Coturnix japonica: one gene and its partner. The protein of the gene in region 1 purifies or fractionates together with the protein of each later gene. This does not show direct contact. Links are inferred from orthologs where the notes say so. Each region holds a gene or a part of one and is shown in the gene's direction. Other genes may lie near its edges.

Evidence for each region. Proteins that work in one complex are often made in the same cells at the same time.
Region 2: the proteins of CRK (region 1) and ASAP1 purify together in Homo sapiens (affinity purification with mass spectrometry; 3 studies listed by BioGRID and IntAct, with this or other methods). This does not show direct contact. The link is inferred for Coturnix japonica from reciprocal best matches to the Homo sapiens genes CRK and ASAP1.

Annotation. Positions count from the first base shown.
Region 1 is NC_029534.1:3,977,478-3,981,131, forward strand, and holds part of CRK (adapter molecule crk), read left to right. Parts: intron 1-2,540; coding exon 2,541-3,076; intron 3,077-3,654. UniProt on the Homo sapiens protein: Involved in cell branching and adhesion mediated by BCAR1-CRK-RAPGEF1 signaling and activation of RAP1.
Region 2 is NC_029517.1:126,769,957-126,773,610, reverse strand, and holds part of ASAP1 (arf-GAP with SH3 domain, ANK repeat and PH domain-containing protein 1), read left to right. Parts: intron 1-642; coding exon 643-776; intron 777-1,637; coding exon 1,638-1,729; intron 1,730-2,063; coding exon 2,064-2,250; intron 2,251-3,397; coding exon 3,398-3,483; intron 3,484-3,654. UniProt on the Homo sapiens protein: Possesses phosphatidylinositol 4,5-bisphosphate-dependent GTPase-activating protein activity for ARF1 (ADP ribosylation factor 1) and ARF5 and a lesser activity towards ARF6.

The DNA of each region.
Region 1 (3,654 bases):
TTTTATTTAACACCTCTGTGAATGATCTTTTCCACACTGACACAAAGCCAAGCCAGTGTAAAAGTCCTCCGTAGGAAGGCCCGTGTGTCATAGAGATCAGTCAGGGTCCAAATTTTACGCTTAGTTTAATTATGGGCTACTTTGGATTTTAACCCCTTCATCACCCCTTTGAGAGCAGAGATTTCACTATCTGTTTCCAAGTGGATGGAATCACATTAAGTCCTAGCACAGACAGAGCTCGGATGGAGTAGGTAGGAAGATGATACACATCTCTTTCCCTTTCTCATTCTAAGGGGCTGTCTTACAGAGCCGAACAGTCCTGCAGCAAAGGTGTGAGCTGAGCTGCTGTCCTTCCTTTGGCTGTCCAGAGCTGGGGAGGAGGGAAGAGGATTTCTTCAGTTGTCCAACTTTAATAGGAAGTGACTAAAGTTCCTTTAGAAGCCAGTCTTACCTTTGCACACATTCTGCTTTTCCTGAGAGCCCTCGGAAGATGCAGACCATATGCTGCTGGAACTTGTGCCTTCAAGAAAACTGTTCCAGGGTTGTGAAGGAAAACATCTCTGCTTCTCCAGACAAAGAAAACAAACACAGCTCTTTTGCTCTGACTTCCTTATGGTAGATCTTGCCTTAGTTTTTTCCACTGGCCTACAGGTATGAGAAGTGTTGTAATTCAAACAAGAAGCTGAAGAATTCTTCCAAGCCTGAAATCTGTTAATCTATGGGTTTCATTGTAGCAGGGAATGGCAGGACTTGGAAGCTTCTAATGTGTGGAATTATTTCCCTGCTGTTTAAGTGACATCACTCAGCTCTTTGACTTTGTAGTTGAACAAGAGTATACACCAAAGACTTAAACTGATGAGGAGATTACCACCTGCTTGGTAAGGTGTGGTTGTATTTCCAACCTGCCTTTTCCTAATAGCGACTTTCAACTCCTGTCAAGGTGCTTTTAGGAATCTTCCCATTCAAGTTTTCCAGGCCGTGACCAGGTTGCTGCCTTTATGTTCTTCAGCAGTTTGAATGAAGCTTATGGATTTCTTGCTGCAAAGATCCTGCTTTCCAGACCTCAAATGGCTGTAGCTGCCCTCTGCTTTTAAAACAAAAGAATCAGAACCGCGTGTGGCATTTTGGGCGTGTTCCCTTTGTGCAAATAGTGTCGATCCTTTTTGTCCCTTCAAGGAACACATTGATCATTCTGATCTTAAAACCTATTTGAAGGGGCTGCGTTCTCTCTTCAGATATGTCAAATGTATTTTGGAAGGCTCTGCAGTGCACTGATCTCAGTCCCTGCTTCCTCACACATAAGGCTTTAGTGGACTTTCTTAAGCTTTATGTAGGTACATTTGGCAGCTGTTTTAGGCTGTCATGTGTTATTTCTAGAGTCTTACTCCTCTTTCTGTGCCAGGTTCACACATCACACTGATATTTACATTCGTTTCCTTATCAGTGTGATTTTTGGTTACTTTGGGAGTTTTTTTTGAGACCAGTGCTTTTTTTGGCTCATTGCAGTGGGGCTGATTTCTTTTGAAAGTCCTTCAGCCTTTTGATGTATCTGAATGTGCATTTTCCTATGACTTAGTTCTGCTGCTTTGAATTTTCTGTAACCAACTCAAATGATGTTTCTGTTCCTTGAGGACTTCAGAACTTATTTATTGGCTGTTTCTCTGTGTTGATCTTACCGAATCTGCCCTTTCTCTATTAGAAGCCCTTTTTGCTCTCTTGAAAGACCTTCTTGTAACGTTAGCTTGTCGTGCTGACGGTGCTACTTTGAAGGGACTTTTGGATCAGCGACAGCCTGAAAAATTCTTCTAGCTTTGTACTCGAGAGCTCATTCTCAGAACTCTTAGATATTCCCTGCAGAGAAGCAGACTTGCAAAGTAAGCATCTCGTTCTTGCTAAGAGTTACTCATTAAAGCATAAATCTTTTCCTCTCCACTGCCCTCCCCCAGCCTTCCACGATTCTTCCCATAACTGATTACACAGTATATGGTGCGTGGTGGAAATGGAACATCATACTTATGTTTTTCCCCAGCTGATGAGCATAAAAATGAAAAGAAAAAAAAAACCTCACAGATTGAAAACTGAAATGGATTATATGTAATTTGCTACTCCTGATGTCTTGAATATGAACATCATCTGCATTTTAATGTATTCGAGGGCCGCATTTGCAGCTTAGACTCCATCTGATGAATATAGCACAGAGAATATAAGAATGGAGATTAAAAGAATGAATTACGTTTATTACGTGTTATGAGAACATACTGCTGTATTGCTGTGCTAAATGTTTTTCTGTAGTGTCTGTGCTGTTAAAAATTTCTACCAGGATTTTGTTTGCTGTCCAGATTTAGAGTATTCATCAGGGGGAGAAGGAAATGAGTTGTCTGTTCAGTGACAATTGTATGAATACGATGAGTGTTGACCAAAATCAAATGACTGTAGAGGTATTAGGACTGTCTGTAAAGGTATTAGTCTTCCCAGACGTTTCATTTACAGTTGTAACCATTGTTCAATCTCTTTGTTGACGTTTTGCTTTCTCCTTTCAGGGTTGAATCCCACCAGGTTTCGAATAGGTGACCAGGAGTTTGATTCTTTGCCATCTTTACTGGAATTCTACAAAATACACTATTTGGACACTACAACCTTGATAGAACCAGTTCCCCGATCCAGGCAGAATAGTGGCGTTATCCTCAGGCAGGAGGAAGTTGAATATGTGCGTGCTCTCTTTGACTTTAATGGAAACGATGACGAAGATCTTCCATTTAAGAAAGGAGACATACTGAAAATCCGGGACAAACCTGAAGAGCAATGGTGGAATGCAGAAGACAGCGAAGGAAAGAGGGGAATGATACCTGTTCCTTACGTCGAGAAGTGTAGACCTTCCTCTGCTTCAGTATCTACTCTGACTGGAGGTAACCAGGATAGTTCCCACCCACAACCACTGGGTGGGCCGGAGCCAGGGCCCTATGCCCAGCCCAGCATCAACACTCCGCTCCCTAACCTTCAGAATGGCCCTATTTATGCCCGGGTTATCCAGAAGCGAGTCCCTAATGCCTACGACAAGACAGCCTTGGCTTTGGAGGTACATAATGGGCAAAACTTAGAAAGAAGAGATCTGTTCAAGGGATTTCCCTTTCCATCACATTATAATTTTGTAGGAATAAGAAAGGGAAAAAAAGCACTGTAAAGCTGGTTTTGCATCATGATTGATAAGTTACTGATAAAGCTTTATTTTTTCTTTTAAATAAGTGACTAAAGTCACTTATAGACTAGCTTGATTATAAGCATGCTTAGGTTACTGATCCACTGTCGTGTCTCTTGTGAAACATCACTAACATAAGTGTTTCCCCATCCACGTTTCACTTCTGAAGTCATTATTTTAGGGGGAGGGAGTGGGTGTGGCTCATAATGTTGTGTGTCTGAACCTGTGTTCAATGTTGTGTGCCTCCACCCCAGCCTTTAAAGGTGTGCTGAGTTATTCTGTCATCCTGTCAGCCTTTTAAAAGCAATCAGTAGAAGCACTGATAGTCACTTTAAAATTACTCACGTCGAGATAACAATGATCCCGCGTAGGGGTTTATTTTAATGTCTTGACCTCAAGCAAATCGCTTCACCTTTTTAGACTGTGAATCATGAACATATATTACAACTCATTAGGGA
Region 2 (3,654 bases), on another chromosome or scaffold:
CCCCAACTTGCAGCCTTAAAGTCTTATCAGCTACTATATAAGATGAGGATGAGATTTATTTGATGGAATGTATACAAAATATGTGTACATTCACTTACTTTCTTCAACAGACTGATCATGTTCCCTATGTAGATGTTGTAATGTAAAAAATGCAGATCTACTCCACGACAGTGCATTTAAAAAAAAAAAAAAAAAAACAAAAACAAAAAAACCTAAGCTCTTAGTTCCTGATGTTTTCCACACATGTTACTGTTTTGCATTTTGGGTTATGTTATGGTCAGTTTTTAATGAAAAAAAGACTATTTAAGAAGTAAATGCTAAAACTTCAGAAGTTGTCAACAGTAGAATATAAGTAGTATGTTGCTTTTTAAAAGCAGGAAATAAAAGCCTGTCTTCTTTCTAGAGGAAACAAACCTTAAATACATTCAGTGTGGTCATTCAGTATGGATTTGGAAGTCTAAATTCAGTGCCATTGTGGCTGTGCACTTGTGCTGCAGTTTGGAGAGAAGTGTGAGATATGCTTGGTTCATTTCCATCTGTTAAAATATTGAATAAGTAATTGCTTCAGATTACATTTGATTTCTTACCACCACAGAAAACTTTCTCTAACTTCTTAAATTATTTTATTTATCAATTTCACAGATCCAACATGGCTATCAACTAATTTGGGCATTTTAACCTGCATAGAGTGTTCTGGAATACACAGAGAAATGGGTGTCCATATTTCTCGAATCCAGTCTTTGGAATTAGACAAATTAGGAACGTCTGAACTCTTGGTAAGTTTCTTATGTTGTGCATATATTAAACATTATGTTTAATTACTGGTTGGGTATTAGGTTGGAAATTAGGAAAAAATTCTTCTCAGGAAGAGTGGTGAGACATTGGAGCGGGCTGCTCAGGGAGGTGGTGGAGTCGCTGTTTATAGAGGTATTCAAGAAACATGGAGATGTGGTGCTGAGGGACGTGGTTTGGTGAACACGGTGGAGATGGGTTGACTGTTGGACTAAGTGATCTTTCTGGTCTTTTCCAACCCTAATGATTCCATGTTGACTTGTAATAGAACCCTGAACTTTTGAATATATAAGATTTGCAGAATATGTTATTCATATATTTGTGAGGTTTTTGTACTATTATGTATTGCTAATACATCTGTCTGTTTGTCATTTCTGTTCATTTCCTAAGGATTTACAGAATGAACATTAATATCTGCTGTGAATAGCAACATTAGAATATTACCTCATACTGTCTGATCCAAATTACTCCAAATCAAGATAGCTTAAAGTATCTTGTGATAATCTAACTTAACAACTGAGAACGACTAATGCTAATTTGGGCAGAAAAAATATTGGATGAATCTTTTAATTTCATAGAAGGAAATCGTTTAATGTCATGAAAGGAATTGTATGGAAAACTTTTAAGTTATGACATGTTTATTACCACAGTCTGTGCTTGACCTGTGAGAATACTCATTGCAGTAACTTTGTGAAATACTTATTAATAGTACTGAAACTCACAAACGTACTATTTGTTCATTTGATAACAGAGTGGAAAATGACTATTAATAGCCCAGGTTTTAGCTTATTGATGGTCGGGGGGTGGAAAAATCTCCCTTTAATCATTTCGTTTTCTTATTGCAGCTGGCCAAGAATGTAGGAAACAATAGTTTTAATGATATTATGGAAGGGAATTTACCTAGTCCCTCACCTAAACCCAGTCCATCGAGTGATATGTAAGTTTTGAATCTCTTCAGTTGTTCAATATTAAGTTTAATATGAAATATACTTGGGGGTGGAAAACGCCTTAAGCAATAAAGAAGCCAAGGGTGGATTAGGGTGGCAGGACACTTTTTATTCATACTCCAAACATGGAGTTTCTTAAAAGTTCAGTCTTCTGCCCTATACAATAACAAAAAAAAGCTTGCATTACAGTAATAAGCTTTTATCTGATGGTTTTCCTCCTACCTTCTGAGTTCAAGTTAAATAATGTGATATTACATTAATATTCTTGACCCATTTTTTTCCTAAAAAAGCATCTAAACCAAGGTCTATTTTCATACCCCACAGGACTGCACGTAAAGAATTTATAACTGCTAAGTATGTAGATCATAAGTTCTCTAGGAAGACTTGTGCATCTGCAGCAGCTAAACTGAATGAATTACTTGAGGCTGTCAAATCCAGGGATTTACTTGCACTAATTCAAGTCTATGCAGAGGGGGTAGAGCTAATGGAGCCACTGTTAGAGCCTGGACAGGTAAGCCAAACAGCTAAACAAGACTGAGTGAAGTATGTCTGTAAAATCTCAAGTACCACAGGTGGTTACCTTTAATACTAAAAGAAGAGAAATAACACATAAATCATTTTTTTCTTTCCCAAGTTGGGCATCCTTTAGAGGGGAAAACAGAAGACCATATCTGTTGCCAGCAGTTAGTCTGAAAGAGTGTGAAATGCAACAGTACTATGATACACTGTTCTAATTGCAGCTATATTATGTTGGGAAGCACCTGCTGTGCAGTATGCTTCTTTTGGAAAAAGGACCTGAGATAGGTAGCTGAATTTGCTAACCTAAAGTCACCTGATACCACAGACAGTGTCATGTCTGCTTTTAAAGTAGCTTTTGAAGGGACACATCACATCACCTACTGAAACAGCAAAGGTGATGCTTTCACAGGCTGTGATGAAACGTTTCCAAAAGTACATTTTTTCATCCAGGACAAGAATCGTGGCTTTGACTTGGTTTTAATAATGTGTTGAATACTTCTAGTTTCTCCTTTAAAATCTGTTTCACCGAAAGTATCCATGCAGAAATGTTGCTCCAGAGCAACATAACCTGGTTTTGTAAAGAACCAATGCTGTGTAGCCACTTGGTCAGCAGTGTTTTTTCCTGCTACTTTAAAATCCAACCTAGAGAGATCTCAGGTAGTTTTCAGTAAGTTCTGTGGGCTTTTCTGTGTGGAGTGGAGGGAGCTCAGTCTCAGCGCTTGAGGTATCACATAGTGCTGGTCATGGAAGTACTTCACAGATCCTCTGACTATGGGGTAGACTTTCTGTCAGCTGTAATGAGAACCAAAGGATTAACCCTTAGTGTTTCACAGCTTCTGTAGTCAGTAATATGTATGAATACCAATTGAAATGTGGCCTGCAGTTAAGATGTTTATAACAGCAGTTTCCCATATAAATTCTCTACTTAAAAAAACTTAAATGAGAATACATAAAAATTAAAATTCATTAAATGCACTTAATGATTCATAAGAGTTGTTAAAATTTGATTTTAGAGTAATTTCTCATGCATCTTTTAATCTGAATTGTTCTTATTTACGTGTATCAAGGCAGAAGTTACATATAGAAAATAAAGTGCAATTCTGTTTGAGATGATCTAACCTCTGTTTCCATGTGTTTAGGAGCCAGGTGAAACAGCACTTCATTTAGCAGTCCGGACTGCTGACCAAACCTCTCTCCATCTGGTTGACTTCCTTGTACAAAACTGGTATGGGTTGCATGTTTTTGTTCAGTTTAGAATGAAATTTGAAGGTGTTCAAAGCCATCATTTCGATGGGTTGGGTTGTTTCTTCATCACTTGTAGTAATTCTCCTTAAATATGTTTCAGAGAAGCATCGTTTAATACCTTGAGTTGACCACTGTGTGAGTTGTTATTTGT